Coturnix japonica: one gene and its partners. The protein of the gene in region 1 purifies or fractionates together with the protein of each later gene. This does not show direct contact. Links are inferred from orthologs where the notes say so. Each region holds a gene or a part of one and is shown in the gene's direction. Other genes may lie near its edges.

Region 1 (4,060 bases):
GAGTAAAGAAATGGTCAAACAGCATAGTTAATTAACGCTATTATTCATATGTCTACCTACCCGAAAATACAAAGAGGAATCTGTTACTGAGGGAAAGTCAGCGTTTCAAAAGCAAATCCGAGCAAAAGCTCAGGGTAAGCCACAAGAGTGTGTGCTCTATCAGGTGCAAACTCGGGGAACTCACCGCTGTATGAAAGCACAAACACCAGCAGCAGCAGCTTTCCTGCTCACTTTCCTTCCATCCCAAACCGCGTTTGAATCCAGAACCGCATTACCAGACTCCTCTTCCCTCCTTTATTGCTCATCACAACTCTTGGCTTCGATACAATTTCATGGGCTACAACTTTAAGAAAGCGCGGGGCTAAAGGTGGGGGGGGGGGGGGGGCTGATTTTCCTGTCGGGGCTGTCCCTCCTCACCCGAGCTCCGTTTGCTTTTTAATGCCTCCAGGTGGGCACGGTTCTCCCCGGCTCGGGGCTGCTGTAGAGCTGCGGTCCGGCAGGCGCTCGGTTCGGGTGCGCGGTACCGGTCCCCGGTGTTTGCTATTATGCAGCTCGTGGAACCAGCATCGTGCGAGTGTCCCCGGTAAAACGGAAAAGCAAATCTGCTGTTTTCTTTCTAAACAAAAGCAGGGGAGGGAAAGAAAAAAAATAAAAAGGCTCTGAGAGTGTTTTTTCTTGGAAGCTGAAGTGTAAAATAAGGTGCTTTAAAATAATGCACCATTTTGAATCAACACTTGGCGAGGTTGCGTTCCTAGGAATGCCTACAAATCCTCCCCTTATTATGTCCCAGGATGGGAGCTGCGATGCATGGACACAAAACAACTTTGCTCAGTGACCTGTGGGCGAGGGAAGCTCCTTGCCAGCTCCGCCACTGACCCAGCACTGATAGTCGCTGCTGTGACTGGTCGCTCAGCAGCGCTCCCCGTTTCCCGTTAAGCACGCTGATATTTTTTGGACGCGCGGACCGCAGCGCCGGCCAAAGCCTTTGAAAAACATCGGCTGGTAAATTCGGCAGGTAGTTTGGAATACGAAGGAGTAAGGAAGAAAGAGGAAAAAAGAGGGGAGGAGTAATAGAAATAATAAGCGACCTCCTCAGCAGCAGCACCGGAGCCAAACTTGGGACGCCAGCAGCGCCCCGCAACCCCAGGGAATGACACCCCTGGGTCCTCCCCCTCCGTCCCTCCCCCTTTCCCCCCCCAAACAATCTCAGCGAGGCAAGTTAGGAGCGTTTCTGTAATTATTTTTCTCTTTGTTCCCGTATTGCTGGCGCTGCGGGGTGCCCCAGCCCCGTGCCCGCTCCCTGGAGCGAGGCGGGGCAGCTCCATTGGTCGTAGGGAGCGGCAGCGCCCGGCGCGCACACACGCACAGAGGCTGCTCGGTATTGTTATCATCGTGCTTCGGCGGAGGGTTCTGCGTGCAGGGGGAGGGGTGAAGGGAGGGAGGGAAGAAAGAGGCAGAGAGAAAGTGGAGACGGAGCATGCAGCAGGGCTGGGGCCGGGGCAGCGGCGGGGCCGGCACGCCCGGGGCGAGGCGCTGAGCTGAACGGAGCCGGGGAGCGGAGCGGGGAGGAGAGGGGCGGGCACGAGCCGGGCGTGGGGACGGCGCCGAGGACTGCCGAGCCGCCGCCGCACCGGCCTGGCAGCAGCAGCAGCTACTTCTTTCTTATCTCGCAGCCTTTTGTTCGCCCATCCTCCTCCTCCTCCTCCTCATCCCTGCCCACCCTCTGCACCGCGGAGGGGGCTCGGCAGAGAGAAAAGCAGCCTGACCCGGAGCCGAGTTTCCCCCCCATCCTCCGCCTCTCTCCGTCTCTCTCTTCCCCCGCTGCATCGCTGCCCATGAGCTAGAGCGGCAGGCGGCAGCCAGCGCCGCGGCACCGGCTCGGGCAGGCGGGGACAGAGCGCAGCCCCGGGAGCCGCCGGCGCCCGATCCTCCCTCCGCTCCCGCCGCACCCCTCGCCCCTCTCCGGGGCTCCAGCCGCGCTCCAGGACCGCCGGGGGCCGCCCCGCCGCCGCCCCTCCTCGCCTCCATGTGCCGGATAGCGGGAACGCCGCCACGGATCCTGCCACCGCTGGCGCTGATGCTGCTGGCGGCCCTGCAGCAGGTAAGCACCGCCGGCGGCGGGCGGGGAGCGGGGCCGGGCTGCGGCTCTTTGTTCCCCTGCGGGCGGCGGTGCCCGGGGAGAAAGAAGCCGGCGGGAGGAGCGGCGGGGCGCGGGCGAGGCGGTGGTGCGCTGCCGGCCACCTGCTCGGGGCTGGGGGGGGAGAGAGCAGGTGCGGAGGGATGTGAGTGTGTGTATGGGGAGGGGCAGGGGGGTCCGGTCCTAGTTTTGTGGGCGGAAGAGGGGGTCTCTCGTATGGAGAGTGGGGGAGAAAGTAGCGGAACAGACACGGTGCGGTGTAAGGCACAGAGAGCCCCGCGTCCCTCCAGGGCAGGTGGGGCTTTGTAGCCCGGCCGGCCTCGCCGAGAGGGCACTGCGCTCCGCCGGCTCCGTGCCCGTTAATCCTTTCCCGGGAAGAATTTAATCACTCGCCGCCTCCGTGCGGGCGCCGCTCGCTCACCCACATTGCGTGTAACGGGAATTTCCAGCGGGACGAGACGGGGCTCCCGAAGTCTGTAATGTACGGCCGGAGCCCCTCCGCCCGGCCCGGGAGAGCTCGAGGTGCGGGGCAGCGCTCGGAGGGAAAGCGGGACCCGGGCCGGGGCAGGTGCCGGGCGGCAAGATGGATCCCGCAGGGATGGATCCCGCAGGGCTGCCCTGAGCGCCGGGGGGACGCGGTAGGAGCGGGTGGCGGCCGCTGTCCCCCGGCTTTGTGCCGGCTGAGCCCAGCGCGGGGGGCGGAGAGGGCGGTAAATCTGAGGGACAGATGGCGCAGATCATCGCCTCTTAATGGTATTTACTGTCGGGGCATTTCTGGCGGGTTAGGGGAGAGGCCGGAGGCCGGGCCGGCGGCGGGGACAGGGCCCCGGGGCGCTGCGGCGGCCTCCGCCTCCCGCACGGGCCGTAGCCGGCGGCCCCTGTCCATGGTGAGCGGCTGGACAGGAGCTCGCCTCGCAGCCGCTCCCCTCCCCGCTTGACCCCTCTGCGATCCTCGGGCGTCCCAGCCGCTCCCGGGGCTGCTGGCTGGCGGCAGGCAGCGAGGTGAGGCGGATTTCAGCTCCGGCCCTCAGAGGGCACAGGGCACGGGGCTGTCTGTCCGTCTATAGCGATGGAGGTGCGTCCTGTAGGGCTTGAGTGACTTCCATGATAGCAGCCACCCTGCTCAGAAACTTGTGATGTGCCACTTTAGCTTTGTTTTATGCTTGTTTTTGTCAGTGTGGAACACAGACTCCCCAAAACAGTACAGACTGATTTTCAGTGCTGTTTATCGTGCACGCTTTCAGTTCTGTGCAGACTTCCCTTCTCAGTGACTCTTCAAAGCCCACGTTCTGTGCTGAGCTTTTATTCCATCTTTTTCCTACCCGGGGCAGGTTGGAAATGAAGCGCGAGCTGTGAATTGGGGACAGGAGGGAGCCTCACTGCTTTCATGCATCACTCAGTGTCAGCGGCACGTTACGCTTGGGGAATCCAATTTCCCCCTTGTTTGGGTATCCATTAAATCAGGTTAGGACTGATTTTTAATAGTGTGTAACAAAATTGGAACTTGGGTATGAAATCAGATTTATAGACCTGGGTCTGTACAGCACGTTATTTATTTATTTTTTCCTTTCATGTGTACTGCAAAGAGTCCTCACGAACAGAATGCAGTGGGAACTTTTATTTCCTGCTTTGGTACCTGCTCCGTTTGCTTTGTACAAGGTTATCTGTTAAAGCTTCTTCTGCAGTGTTGAACCTTCCAGCTTTTTCCTGTCTCTTTGCAACACAAGAGCTCTCTGCCTTTATTGTCTGAAGTTATCGATCACTCATTTTTCATCAGTGATGTGGAAAAGCAGTCATGACGGAATGCTTGATCATAACTGGAAGCGTGTTTTAAGTCGGATCTGTGGGTTCTGTGTAATGTTCAAGAAAAAGGGCTTTAGATTTCTGGCAATGTATAATGCACATGGGATGCGAGAGAATGTA
Region 2 (3,687 bases), on another chromosome or scaffold:
TTCCTGTATCTCACATGGCTGTGAGCGAGCAGAGGGTCCTGGTGTCCCACAGCCCACGTGGCAGTGCTGGATCACAGCCCTGGTGTCAGCGTGTCGGGGCTCCCAGCTTCACAACGCAGCGCCTTCAAACATCCCAGCTGTTATCCCGGGTATTTCATGTCTGCTGAGAGGCATCGAGCCATCAGCCTGCAGATTTCCCCAGGGGTTTTCCTTCCATCCTTCACTCAGAGGAGCCGCCTGCTTGTTTTGAATGGGAGAACGTGAAGGAGTTCCGAGTACAACACAAACGAAAATGATTTGCAGCAATTCTCTGTTATTATTTTTTTTAATGTTGAAATATTTACAGCAGGAAAACCCACCCCGTTGTGCTGCTGCACACAGTGATGGGAGGCTGATGGCTGTACGTGCTGCTGGGACCACACGGGGCTGCCTCATGTCCTAATCAGTGTGGGAACCATGGAACCCTAGAATGGCCTGGGTTGAACAGGACCACAGTGATCATCTCTTTTCAGCCCCCTGCTGCGTGCAGGGTTGTCAACCACCAGCCCAGGCTGCCCAGAGCCACATCCAGCCTTGGATGCTGTCTTTTATCTTGGGTAGTTTCTCTTTGCAGACATCATTGGTTTTTGAACTGAATTCTCCACTCTGCTCATCGAATTAGCACACACAGTGTAGGCTGTGGGTTTCCCAGTCATGTCATATTGATGTCTGCTATTAAATAATATCTCTGATCCCATTTCTTACCTTCCCACTGCTGTTTGGTTGCTTCCTGCCACCACAGGCTCTTCCTAATTCCTACCCGTACAGCACCCCAAGCTGTGCACAACCCCCAGCCACACTGCAGTGTGTGTGTGTCAGCACTCAGCCCCAGCTGAGCTGCTCAGGAGATGGAGAGCATTTCCCAGATGCTAATGGCAGGGTTTCATTAACTCCTTGGCCCACGGTGTTTGTGAGCTCTCCCTAAAACATCTTGCACTGCTGGCTGGTATTGATTCACTTAAGAAAATAACCAGCAGACCTCACCTCTTTGTTATGCAGTTTTCACTTCGCTGATGGAAACCAAGAGAGCTGCAGGTGCCTCGGTGTGTTCTTAGCTTGGCTGGGGGGCACGAAGGCAACTGCTGCCACCCAGACCACAGAATCACAGGGTATCACGGGGTGTCAGTGTGTCACAGGGTATCACAGTGGGGCATTGGAGGGTGTTTGGGTTCCCTACGTGAGCATGTGGGGTGCTGGAAAATGCAAAGCTGAACAAGTTACTTCCATGGACTCCATCCCCACACCAACCCTTGCTGTGTCTCTCCCTGCAGTGCCCCGACTCGGCATGCAAGCAGGACCTGCTGGCCTATCTGCAGCGCATCGCCCTGTACTGCCACCAGCTCAACATCTGCAGCAAAGTGAAGGCTGAAGTGCAGAACCTTGGAGGGGAACTCGTCGTGTCTGGGGTACGTAGGATGACGTTTGGTGCCACACAGCTCTGCTGCTTGATGTGCTCCTCTGTGGGAGGCTGAAGGCATCGTGCTGTCAGAGGAGTGGATGTGTCATTACACAGTAATGTGGACTCCAGGGTTTTACTGCCATTATTCAGCTTCTTCAGAACGTACATCCCCTCCTGCCATAAATTAGTTATGTGAGCAGGCATCTGCCATCTAATCTGCCGCTTTATCTGCTCCCCTGCAATCTGCCCATGGGGCTGAGTGCTGCTGGGTGCTGTTCAGCTCTGTCAGGTTACAGGGGAAGGCCCCGTGTCTGCAAGGGAATTCTGTCTCATTTTAAAGCTCCTGTCAGTAGGAACCACCCTGCAAACAGCTCCAGGCCCGGTGAAGATAACACTGCACTCCTCCCTTTGTAATATAACTTCATGTTCCCGGCTGATTTAAATGTTTATTATCAGCAATTAAGATATTGCTGTGATTTTATTAATTTCATTAGAGAATAAGCTGCTTTTAAAGCTTAGTCCCAAAAGCAAACAGCGGAGCACAGATCCCTTCGGTTGCCATTAGCACAGAGCATTGTGCAGGCAGGGCGCAGTGTCAGCAGGGGAACATCACTGTGTGGATGGGGTCCAGGCTTTGAGCAAAGCCATCAGAGCAGTTGTGGGGTGGGTGCAGTGCAGAGCTCAGGGTGCTGCTGTGGGGCTGCTGGGGTCTGTCACCTCCTGTAACCCCATTCCCTCCCTGCAGGTGGACAGCGCCATGTCCCTCATCCAGGCGGCCAAGAACCTGATGAACGCGGTGGTGCAGACGGTGAAGGCGTCCTACGTGGCGTCCACCAAGTACCAGAAGTCGCAGGGCATGGCCTCGCTCAACCTCCCCGCCGTGTCCTGGAAGATGAAGGCTCCGGAGAAGAAGCCCCTGGTCAAAAGGGAGAAGCAGGACGAGACCCAGACCAAAATCAAGCGGGCGTCCCAGAAGAAGCACGTGAACCCGGTGCAGGCGCTCAGCGAGTTCAAGGCGATGGAGAGCATTTAGAGGTGCCCGTGTCGGTCAGTTTTTCCTTTAGGCCACTACTGCTACTGCCAGAACTCTGCTCTTAACATCCTGAGGATTCTCAGGAGTTTCCTACTCCTCCAAATGTATTTACTTAATATAATTTTGATAACTTTGTTTAGATCATGTGGGGAAATACTCGAATCACGAAACCTATCAGTATAGCTCCAGACTGCGGGAGTGTGTTCCTTTAGATTGCTTTTAGATTCCAGGGGTGTATTTCTAGCTGGAAACTATTTTGTATAATCTCGCTTTAAATGAAATATTCTATAACCAAAGAGGTTTTACACTAACACTAACAGTTAACGCTGATAGCTGAACCGTCCTGCTTGGAGGCGGCCGTTCTGCCTTGTGATCCAGAGGGAAAAATTAAGGCTTTTCACTCAAAAAAAAAAAAAAAAAGGTTTTACAAATAGATTATTGTGTGTATGTGGATCCTGCTGGGAGCCGAGAGCCAGTGAGCTGTGAGTGCCAACAGGAGCTGAGAACACAGCGAGCAGCTCCTGCCATGGAGCTGCATGGCACACGGCTGGGCAGGGCCGGGAGGGGCTGCAGTGCTCCCTGTGCTGCCTCCCATCCCTGTGCCCCCCGTGGCTGCTGGGGTCACTGCTGGCTTCTGTGTGACACCAGAGCGGTAATGCCCGGCTGCAGACGGCGGATGTTGTTGCTGCAGGACACAATAAAGTTGCTTTTCCCACCCTGCGTTGTGCTGTTCGTGCTGTTGGCGCTGTGTGCATTTCCCAGCAGCTCTCGTTAGCTCTGGCTGCAGTGCTGTGCGGTGATGTACCTACAGGCATCGCTTCACCCCTGTTTATTTACACACTCTGGGTGTTGGTGTGTTTTACTCCCACCAACGAGATCCCTCCTTCCCCAGAAGGCTGTGAGTGGTTCGTGGCCAGGGGTTGGTGCAGTGCTGTGACTGTAACTGAGTTTGAGAGCAGCTCCTTGGCAGTGCTTAGCTTATAATTCCATTTACCTCAATCACGGTTTACTGTATCAAGCCCTTTGCTGTCAGGTTACCAGCTGCAGGTCAGGATTAGGAGTTAATGTTGCCCATTTTGCTCCCAAGTGCTGCTGCCTCCAAGGACGGGTGACAATGCCCTGCAGTGTCAGTGCTGGCCCCACAAACACCCAGGGCCTCAATGCTGCACCTTAATGCCACAAACACAAACCACTCCTCTGGATCCCTGTGTGACAG
Region 3 (2,268 bases), on another chromosome or scaffold:
CACTGGGGACACAGTCTCACACCGCCCTGTTCTCTCCCGGCAGCTCCTCTACTCACCAGTGGAGAACATCCAGCGCGTGGCAGCCGGCGTGCTGTGCGAGCTGGCCCAGGACAAGGAGGCTGCTGATGCCATTGATGCCGAAGGGGCCTCAGCTCCTCTCATGGAGCTGCTGCACTCCAGGAATGAGGGCACAGGTGAGTGCAGCCCCAGCCTTGTGCTGGGCTCTGCTCGCCGAGGTGGATCCCTGGGCCCTGCTGCAGTGTTTCAGCTCCTGTCCCCCCACAGCCACCTATGCGGCCGCTGTGCTCTTCCGCATCTCCGAGGACAAGAACCCCGACTACAGGAAGCGTGTGTCTGTGGAGCTCACCAACTCACTGTTCAAGCACGACCCCGCAGCGTGGGAGGCGGTGAGTGCATGGGGACGGGGAGGGGCGGCCACATTGTGCCCCCACATTGAGCCTGCACGGCAGCGGTGGGTGGGCAGAGGGGAGGTGGTGGCTCTGGGTCATGGGATGGGGATACCAAGTGCCACGTGCATGTTCCCTGAATCTCAAAGTGTGCCACCTTCTTTCCCAGGCTCAGAGCATGATCCCCATCAACGAGCCCTACTCAGACGGTGAGTGCAGCCCTGGGTCTGTGCGGCCTCTCGGTCCCTCTCAGCGCAATGGGAGCCAGGAGGGCGGCTGTCACCCACAGGCACTGAGTGTCCCCTGTCACCCAGCAGAGATGGACCCTGGCTACCGCCCCATGTACTCGGGTGACATCCCTCTGGACCCCATTGACATGCACATGGACATGGATGGAGATTACCCCATGGACGCCTACAGTGACGGCGTCCGCGCGCCCTTTGCTGACCATATGCTCGCCTGACCGCCCGCACAACAACAGGTAGGGGGGGCTGGGGGGGCTGGGGGGCCACATCCCGCTCCCCAGAGCCCACGGTGACACCCATTCCTCTGTGCAGGAGTTTCCTCCGTGCAGAGGGCGGCCCCAGAGCTGAGCAATGGCGAGAAGGACTCGGGAGACAGAAGTGCCTGACGACAAACGTCCCCATTCCCACGAGAGGTTTCATCTCCCCGTTTAGTTTTCTCTTCGCTGTGGGTCTGTGCAGGTCCTTCCTCCTGGGACTGCTTCGAGCACCTACTGCTGCACCCGGCATCCAAATACAGTTTCTGAAGCTTTAAAACACACAAATCCCGCATCTTTATCAACCTTTCATTGGCAGGATGGTCTTTTCTATGAATATATATATTTCCTTCTTATTTTTAATATGGTGCCAACGGCTTTTGCCGTCTTTAAGTTTGTGCTTTCTAACGTCCCTGCAGTTTGTTCTGGGGAGGGGTCTGCTGGGAGGAGCCCCTTTGCTTTCTGCAAGCTTTGGTGTCCGAGGGGCAGCCTGGGCTTTGCTGGGAGCAAACGGAGCCGCTCCTGGAGCCCTGGGGATGGTGGGGTTGGGATCTGCTGCGTGGAGCCGACTGAGTCCCGCAGCACCCATAGAGGAGTGACTCCAGCAGTAGAACCGTGTCCTTGTACCCATCTCTGTGGCACATTTTAACCCTTTCCCCTCCTTTTGGTGAGTGGTGTTTCCTCCCTCTTTCCTTATCTGATGACTTTTCTGAAGAGGTTCTGGATCTGATGGTTTCACGCTCTGCCTGGAAGTGGACGGGCTGTCACTGCAGCGTGGGTCCAGAAGGGAAGATTTTATTATTTCTATAAGTTGTTTTTTGTATAGACCAAAGCAAAGAATAAAATAACCCCCCCAGCCCCGGGTCGTCGTCAGCCTCTTCTTTGTTGGCCTGGGGACATTGTGGGTCCCGTTGGGGTGGGGTGGGCATCGCCCTGATGTGGGTATGGCGACATGTCTGCTCTGCCAGGAGGCAGCAGCTCCTGGTAATTAAGATGTTTGTTCATTAAGGAGCATCACTGGCATCTCAGCTCCGCTGCGGCTCGGAGCTCGTCTTAATGAGCTCTAGGGATAAACACGCGCTGCAGCCGAGCTCCGGTGATGGATGGATGGAGCGGGGCGGGATGGAGCTGCGTGCGGCGGGGTTAAAAGCGGCGACCGATTCCCATCCAAACTCCCGCAGCCGGGTTGTGCGAGCGGCACAGATGGAGGGAGGAGATTCACCGGCAGCTGCTCCCTGCGAGCGGCGTGGAAGCAGCTCCGGGCGCCGGGCTGGCAACGTGCTGAGAGGTGGAAACTTCCCAAAGTTATCCGTGAACTTGGCGGTGCCCATCTGCTCGGCCGTGTCCCCGCGTCCCCCCTGC

Evidence for each region.
Region 2: the proteins of CDH2 (region 1) and CTNNA1 purify together in Homo sapiens (affinity purification with mass spectrometry; 4 studies listed by BioGRID and IntAct, with this or other methods). This does not show direct contact. The link is inferred for Coturnix japonica from reciprocal best matches to the Homo sapiens genes CDH2 and CTNNA1.
Region 3: the proteins of CDH2 (region 1) and JUP purify together in Homo sapiens (co-immunoprecipitation; 4 studies listed by BioGRID and IntAct, with this or other methods). This does not show direct contact. The link is inferred for Coturnix japonica from reciprocal best matches to the Homo sapiens genes CDH2 and JUP.

What each region holds. Positions count from the first base shown.
Region 1 is NC_029517.1:94,736,742-94,740,801, reverse strand, and holds the start of CDH2 (cadherin-2), read left to right. Parts: upstream 1-1,260; 5' UTR 1,261-1,378; intron 1,379-1,453; exon of another isoform or gene 1,454-1,673; 5' UTR 1,674-2,026; coding exon 2,027-2,101; intron 2,102-4,060. UniProt on the Homo sapiens protein: Calcium-dependent cell adhesion protein; preferentially mediates homotypic cell-cell adhesion by dimerization with a CDH2 chain from another cell. Cadherins may thus contribute to the sorting of heterogeneous cell types.
Region 2 is NC_029528.1:14,135,272-14,138,958, forward strand, and holds the end of CTNNA1 (catenin alpha-1), read left to right. Parts: intron 1-1,310; coding exon 1,311-1,445; intron 1,446-2,183; coding exon 2,184-2,471; 3' UTR 2,472-3,187; downstream 3,188-3,687. UniProt on the Homo sapiens protein: Associates with the cytoplasmic domain of a variety of cadherins. The association of catenins to cadherins produces a complex which is linked to the actin filament network, and which seems to be of primary importance for cadherins cell-adhesion properties.
Region 3 is NC_029542.1:4,293,823-4,296,090, reverse strand, and holds the end of JUP (junction plakoglobin), read left to right. Parts: intron 1-43; coding exon 44-194; intron 195-285; coding exon 286-407; intron 408-576; coding exon 577-616; intron 617-724; coding exon 725-870; 3' UTR 871-888; intron 889-964; 3' UTR 965-1,768; downstream 1,769-2,268. UniProt on the Homo sapiens protein: Common junctional plaque protein. The membrane-associated plaques are architectural elements in an important strategic position to influence the arrangement and function of both the cytoskeleton and the cells within the tissue.